Daphnia pulex: one gene and its partner. The protein of the gene in region 1 interacts with the protein of each later gene in a pairwise test. Links are inferred from orthologs where the notes say so. Each region holds a gene or a part of one and is shown in the gene's direction. Other genes may lie near its edges.

Region 1 (3,883 bases):
GCACCCAAGTCTTTCTGCACATTGGACTGCCATCAAGAGGCTCAGAGCCTCAGAAGAGGTTGTAAACTTGTAATCCTACTTGGAGAAAAAAAGTCCTTATCAGAAAATACGTCATTTGTATGCTTTACATTTGTGACATCAACAAAATGACAGCAGCTTGGTTCAACTAGGCACTTTTTTGGAATTACTTTTAAGTTGCAAAGGAATCTACAATTAGCATCCTTAGAACAGTTTTAACTGAGAAGTCAACAGATACAAAGCAAAAAAACTATATAGCCTTACCGTAGAAAAGCTGATCAACTTGATTAATTTTATTTGCTCTGAAGTATTTTTGCATGTGAAGAGAGCTGCAAACTGTACAGGTATCAATCAAGCCAGCAAGAAGAACACCTTTCGCCAGCTGGCTGCAACAAACCCATGAGCACATTGGGCTGAGAGGCTCAGACCTGAAGAGGCTGTATTCCTATTAGGAGAAAAATCAATTGCTATCAGAAAATAAAGTCATGTGTGACATGAACAAAATGACAGAAGCATGGTTTAGCTAAGTAATCTCTAGGAATTACTGTTACATTACACAGGAATCAACAATTGGCATACTTTTAAAATGTTTTTAACCTTTAAGTCAACAGATTTCAAGCAAAAAAACTACATGTTAACTAGTAAATGAGTATCCTTACCGTAAAAAGCAGATCAACTTTATTATTTTAAACTCTTCTGAAGTGTTGCTGCATGTGACGAAAGCTACAAGCTGTACAGGTAGCAAACAAACCTGCAAGTAAAGAAAACCACCTGCCAGCTGTCTGCAACAGCAACAACTTCGTGTGCATGTGGGACTGAGAGGCTCAGACCTTAAAAGGCTGTATTCCTACTTGGAGAAAAAATCCCTAAACACACTGAAATATTTAGCCACCTGGTGACAGCCCTAAGCATCCACGGACGACGGGAGTCAATACATGCTCACTGTAGCCTACACCTGCGTCTGCGTTATAATTACGGATTGCACTAACACTAAGTCTATAATGATTAAACATTTAAACCCTACATCGTAATCTACTGTATGCAAAAATAGTGATGCCGTATTGGTATAATAAACTTTGTAATGTTCACTTTACTATAAGCAATGGCATACCATAGCAATTACTTTAACCATTACATAGCTGTCTGGCATTTGCGTTAGCATTACTACTTCTTTACTCTCACATAAAAAATTTTCATGAAATGTGCTAGGAATGGCTTAATAGTTAATACTATGGTGAATATTAATGAATTGTTTGAAACTAAAAAAAAAAAAAAAAAAACACGCGCTCTTTTACTTCCATCTAGTGGCTGCTGATGACACCAAAACTTTTCTTCATACTAAATGTGCCACGAAATGTCAAAATCAGCTGTACAAGGATCGAGTCCATCGATTTAAAATTGTCAAAATCAAAATCTGGCATTTAAAAAATAAAGTTTCAGTGCAATATCTATTATCCAAATCAATGTTTTCAATTGTGATGTGTACGATTTAGATTTTTCTTGTGAAAATTTAGATCACGTACATCTTAATATCGATGATTCAACCCCAATATCGACTGAAAGTTCACATAGAAAATGGCAACACGAAGTATCACTGAAATTTTCATTCTGATGCGTAACAATGCTATTCAAAGTCGCAATTTTTACTCTGAACAAGTGAGTGACTCATTTTGACTTTTGAAATTACTGGTAATTGGTAATGGTTTGCTTTTAGAGCATATCAGACACGGATTCCTTGGTCCGTCATGAAATAGATGTTCACGGCAAGAGTCATGCCACTCATGTAAGGATTCCTCCAGAATGGACAGACAGCTTAGAAGAGGCTCAGTACACCTTGACAAAAATTCAAACTCGACTAAAAGAGTTGAGCTCTCTTCAAAACAAACATCTTCTTAAGCCCACATTTGATGACTCGATGAATGAAGAGCAGCAGATTGATGCCTTTACTCAAGACATAACCAAAGTATTACAGATTAGAATTAATTAAATTGTTTAAAACTTCAATCCTTCTTTGTTTATTCTGAAGATGTTTACCACCTGCCACAATTGCATAAAAAGGATTCAGTACAATAGTACTAGTCCTAGTCTGGGGCAGGCAGAAGCAAATCTTGCCAAAAATGTGGTCACATCTTTGGTAACAACATTACAAAATCTATCAAACACCTTCAGGAGTGACCAGAATGCATATCTGAACAGTTCAGTTCTTATTCATTTATTTCTTTTACAAAGTATAGCACATTCCAGTCACAGTCAAAGCCAGTCACAGCACTTTTATCATGTCAATATTACTTATTCTAAGTGATAAGTAATCATTACTCATCAGTCATCTTCATTTCTTTATCACACAAGAATGTAGTTTCAAATCTCTGATTTGTATTTTGTTGCACCTAGATAATAGTTTAAAAATCAATTAACCAATTCGTAACAAAAATGTAAATTCATGTATATACTTATTTGCCCACTGCCCAACAGAAATTAAATCACGCGAGGAACGTTCTCAACAATTTTTTGGTGGAACTTCCTCCAAGGATTGGAATTATGATGACTGGACCAATACTAGCAGCCAAACCGAAACTCCGCGAGTGATGAGCCAGCAGCAATTGATGTTGCAGGAAGAAAATTCGTCTTTCGTTGAACAGCGCGAGAAGGAAATTCAAAATGTGGTCCGTTCGATATACGAACTGAATTCGATATTTAAAGTAATTTCTTTGACACTTTGAAGCATTGCAACATTATTTCATTATGGTGTAACTTATTTTTGTTCATTTTCTTAAATCTGCAGGAAATCTCTCACATGGTCGCGGATCAAGGTACCGTTTTGGATAGAATAGACTACAATATTGAGCATACACAAGCTAAAGTTCACGACGGTTTGGTTCATCTGCAAAAAGCTGATAATTATCAAAAGAAAAATCGGAAGATGGTATGCATTGTCGGTTTGGTTTCCACCATCATCCTTCTAATCATTATTTTAATTGCTGTTAAATCTTGAGTAAATAGAAAATCTAATTTCTGTTCAAGTTTTCCATGTGTGTATTGAACTGCTGGAAATGTACGTGTTTAAATGCTGCATAGTATATGTTTTACAAGTTCAAAACACTTGAATTTTCTAAGGTGTTGTAACTTTAATATGAAGTGTACATTTTCAATTACAGTCGCAATATTAGCTACCCCTCTCGTCACCAACTAGGGCCAAAAACACATTGGTCGTCCTTAGTATTGACATGCAAAAACAAATTACAGAACGTTAAAACCGCTCTTGTTTCGCACCCCTAAAGCTATAGTCCTGGAAACAATCAAATTCCTTTTGGAAATGTTTTCAGTAAGGACACGCGTAACGTATAGCACCGTAACGATGCCATTTAAGACATAAGCTCTACTTATCAGCAGTAAATTCATAAAGAAAATCAACAATAGATATTCAAATTTCTCAACGAAAGCTTCTTAAAAAATGAGAGTAGTAGAAAACGAAGTTTAGAGAGAGGAGAAGGCACAACGAAGACTAGCAGAGCACTCGTTGAAGTGGAGGTGTAATAGGGTGGTGATTCGGACTTATTTCTCAAAGATGAAAACCGTGTTTCGTGATATTTACAATAGATTGTATCAATAACCGCTGATACAAATGAGGGGACTAAAAGCGCCTTTGATTCGCAAAAGTTCAATATTAGGAACGCTTTTAATACCCCCGGTAAAACTAAATGGCGATCAACGTCACGCCGGGCAATCAAGGTAGTTGACGGATTCTTGAGGGACATGAAGGATGGGCGGATTTGACACTTCTTCTTTCCTCTCCAATGGACAGGATTTCAAATGAATATCTCTCGTGATAGCTAAGGCGCCTCCTTGGGCGAAACGGACAAAATTA
Region 2 (4,209 bases), on another chromosome or scaffold:
TTACTTTTTGAACGTGGTCTTTTTCTGTGGTCACAATGGCCAGTCCTTTTCAAATGCATTACCGGATACGGATAGTCCGGATTCCGGAAGTAGGCCTACCTAAAAAAAGAGCTCGTCAGCTGTTGAGCCGACATCAAATTCGACCATTAGAATACTGTTTCTAAAATAATTGAAAATTTCTAAAAATTTATTCCACCTCACTGCCGACGCCGGACTACCTTTTGGCCTTTTTCTTGCTTTTTATAAACGAAATCGGGATACTTTATTCATCAAATTAACAGACGTAACAAAATGGTCCGTTATCACTATAAAATTACAAGAACTTTAAATTACTCCAAATGAACCTGCATTTGAAATTTTCTTGATTAGGCATTGATTTACACATGAAAAAAAGCCTAAAACTAAAATTTCTTTATTTGTTTAACAAGCGATCCACGAATCAAGTAGACCAAAATCCCGGAGCGGCTTTCCTGATCTAAATCCGGAAAAGGCATTAAAAATCTAAAAAAAATATAGCCATGTTCGTCTTCGCACGCCGGATTTACCTGCGTTTGCAGAATGACGATTTTCCCCCCCGTTTAGGAGTTATTTAGCTCTAAAGTTTGATTTTTTTGAATTTTGTCAGAAAGTGGGGGGGCTTTGACATCCATTTTGGAAAAAGTGGGGGAGCTAGGGAAAAAACTAATTTTTTGAAAAGGTTTATTGCATACTCAACCACCGAAATCCAAAAGGAATTTCCTTTCCGGATTTTATTGGTTGAGATATTACCAATTTAGTGAAAAGATAATTTAGCTGGTTTCCCTCCCTGGCTTGCAGCCATTTTTTCGTACGGTCCGCTGCGCTCCTGGTGGAAGCCAGCAGAAGGTCTTATACATCGGCCTATAAGAAACCTGGGTTCACTATATATGAAGGCCTGTATAAATGCAATGGGTCTAATGTGAAGGCCGATATATAAGACCTTTTGCTGGCTTCCACCAGGAGCGCAGCGGACCGTACGAAAAAATGGCTGCAAGCCAGGGAGGGAAACCAGCTAAATTATCTTTTCACTAAATTGGTAATATCTCAACCAATAAAATCCGGAAAGGAAATTCCTTTTGGATTTCGGTGGTTGAGTATGCAATAAACCTTTTCAAAAAATTAGTTTTTTCCCTAGCTCCCCCACTTTTTCCAAAATGGATGTCAAAGCCCCCCCACTTTCTGACAAAATTCAAAAAATCAAACTTTAGAGCTAAATAACTCCTAAACGGGGGGGAAAATCGTCATTCTGCAAACGCAGGTAAATCCGGCGTGCGAAGACGAACATGGCTATATTTTTTTTAGATTTTTAATGCCTTTTCCGGATTTAGATCAGGAAAGCCGCTCCGGGATTTTGGTCTACTTGATTCGTGGATCGCTTGTTAATACCAAAGTCCGGTTGTCAAAAATTCCATCAATCGGTGAAAATGGCGTGGTTCAATAGCGTTATGAAGTGAAGATGGCATTTGTAAGGAATCGAATTTAATTTTTTTTTTTTTTTTTAATTGGTCCGACTTCTGACAGTTTTACCGCTTTTACTGTATTAGGAGACGCCACTTTACCTATGTTGCGTTGTTGCCTTTACTATGTTGTCAGCAGGTGGCAGCACGTACTGACCAGTAAAGGACTAAACAATACTAGTTCGCCGGCCTTTGTTATGCAGAATGTCATGATCGATATACGTAATATTGTCTGACAAGAGAAGTGCAGCTGTATTCATTTGTTGCAAAATGTACGTTTATTTAACGTCTTATCATTCACATTTGTTATGTACACGCAAATAATTTTACTTACTTTAGAGTAATCCACAATGGCCGACAACGAGCAAAAAGCAGCCCAACTAATCGCCGAGGCTGAAAAGAAATTGAACTCGGGAAAGAGCTTTTTTGGTTCTCTATTTGGAGGGTAATTCATTCCAGTATGTTGCATTATCCTCCCATTCTGATTATTGAATTATTTGTGTAGAGGATCATCCAAAGTTGATGAGGCTATAGAATGCTACCAACGAGCAGCAAACTTGTATAAAATGGCAAAAAAATGGTCTCAAGCTGGTCAAGCCTTTTGTGAGGCAGCAGCTCTACATCTTAAAGCTGCTGGACGTCATGATGCAGCCACCAATTACATTGACGCAGGCAACTGTTATAAGAAATCTGAGCCCAATGGTAAACATTACATGTTATATTCTATTTTTATCTAATATCAACTAATATTTTTCTAAATTCAATAGAGGCTGTTGCTTGCCTCCTCAAAGCTATTGAAATATATACTGATATGGGAAGGTTTTCTATTGCTGCCAAACACCATCAAACCATTGCAGAGATTTACGAAACAGAATTGGCTGATCTCGAAAGAGCTGTGCAACATTATGAACAAGCAGCTGATTATTTCAAAGGTAGTAGAGTTTTTATTTTTTTAAACATTTTAATTAAAATATTGTATTCACAGGTGAGGAAAGTAATAGCTCTGCCAACAAATGCCTTTTGAAAGTGGCTCAGTATGCAGCCCAGTTGGAAAACTATCAAAAGGCGATTCAGATTTATGAGCAAGTTGCATCAGCTTCTCTGGATAATTCACTGTTGAAGTACAGTGCTAAAGAGTACTTCTTCCGGGCTGCCCTTTGCCACTTGTGCATTGATTTGTTGAATGCCCAACATGCTGCCCAGCAATATGAGAACATGTATCCAGCTTTTCAGGTATGCCATTTATTTCTGATCAACACAATGTTGATTTTCAATAACAGTTTGGATGACCTCAATTAAATAATAACTTCATTTGTTTTTATAGGATTCCCGAGAATGCAAGCTGATCAAGGCACTCATTGGTCACATGGAAGAACACAATGTAGACGGATTCACCGAAACGGTCAAGGATTATGACTCCATTTCACGGCTTGATCAATGGTACACTACAATGCTTTTGAGGATCAAGAAGCAGATGGCTGAAACACCTGACTTGTGTTAAGTCAGAAGATCCAAAACCACTCGACGATCGGAAACCTATAGGATATCGTAGCTTTTTTTGCTGGTTTATGGCACACCCTTTAATCTTGCGCATGTACACATTAGAAGCTCCCCCATACACGATTATTCTGTTGTAATATCTTTCGATTGTCTAGTTCCATACGTTTTTAGCATGATCGCGAAGTGTACTATTCTATACATTTTTCATTCCACATTAATTCTTTTGCTCTCTGTCTTACACTGTTCATTATTATTTTTTTCAAATTCGTTCTTGTCCATTGTTCTCTTACGTTACAGTGTACAGTATATGTTCATCGTTGGACTTCACTCGGTTTTTTTTCCTAATTTGGTATTTACTATATACTCCGCGATATAGTTGTTCTTTTCACCTTATATTGTCTTTATAGAGGTTGATCTTTCAACTGCAAAATGTGTTAAAAGAAAAGGCAAATTCGTTTAATTATTCGTAGATGAATAGGCAAAAAATTTCGGTACTGTTACTTTTCTTCCCTTTTTCTTGCTGTCGGATAAATTGTATGCCTCAACCAAATTTGTATTTGTGTGTATCAATGTTTGTAGTTCAGAGAAATCCAACGTGGTGAAGTTTACCTTTGCGGTTTTTTTTTGGCTAAAGTTATAAATTAGTATAGTTCTTTTAACATTTAAAATCCTTGCAGTCCTGTAACAGATTTTTAAAAGAATTAAGAATTCAAAGTTTTATTGTGTGTTGTCAAAATATAGGCTCATAAAAGCTTGATTAATGCTACAGATTTTCGATTTTACGAACATATTGCAGTATCTTTTTATCTTTCCAAAATGACAAATGTTCGCAAAGCCGTACCCTATTGAAAGATGGCGCAAGCGTCAAGGTAACTTCACTAGGGTTTTGTGGGATTAATGAACCAGAAATGGACATATTGCGAAAAAACAACTTACAAGTTTTTGGTATTTCGGTCAAGTGTTGATTCCAATTCCGTGTTGTACTAAATCGTACACAATAGCTATACATAGTAGTGCTATATTTAAAAACTAGTAGAAAAGGAATGCAGTATAGGAAGTATACTCGTATGACTGTGCTAAGTCGATTGAAAAGTAACAATTTGGCAGTTTCAGATGAAAGAGGAGACGATGAACCTTGCGTTCAAATTTTATTTTATAATTCATTTCTATTATTATTTGTGCACGGAACACAGAAGAGAATGTGTAGTACAGTACATAATGCCCCAAAGTTCAG

The links.
Region 2: the proteins of syntaxin-16-like (region 1) and alpha-soluble NSF attachment protein-like interact in a two-hybrid assay, tested with the Drosophila melanogaster proteins (2 studies listed by BioGRID). The link is inferred for Daphnia pulex from reciprocal best matches to the Drosophila melanogaster genes Syx16 and alphaSnap.

What each region holds. Positions count from the first base shown.
Region 1 is NC_060020.1:4,604,094-4,607,976, forward strand, and holds syntaxin-16-like, read left to right. Parts: upstream 1-1,342; 5' UTR 1,343-1,593; coding exon 1,594-1,674; intron 1,675-1,732; coding exon 1,733-1,981; intron 1,982-2,044; coding exon 2,045-2,213; intron 2,214-2,490; coding exon 2,491-2,717; intron 2,718-2,800; coding exon 2,801-3,010; 3' UTR 3,011-3,088; downstream 3,089-3,883. Other genes in the region: oxidative stress-induced growth inhibitor 1-like, read right to left, coding at 3,730-3,883.
Region 2 is NC_060021.1:555,222-559,430, forward strand, and holds alpha-soluble NSF attachment protein-like, read left to right. Parts: upstream 1-1,610; 5' UTR 1,611-1,747; intron 1,748-1,814; 5' UTR 1,815-1,825; coding exon 1,826-1,920; intron 1,921-1,980; coding exon 1,981-2,177; intron 2,178-2,242; coding exon 2,243-2,407; intron 2,408-2,460; coding exon 2,461-2,708; intron 2,709-2,799; coding exon 2,800-2,976; 3' UTR 2,977-3,583; downstream 3,584-4,209. UniProt on the Drosophila melanogaster protein: Required for vesicular transport between the endoplasmic reticulum and the Golgi apparatus. Also between the endosome and phagosome.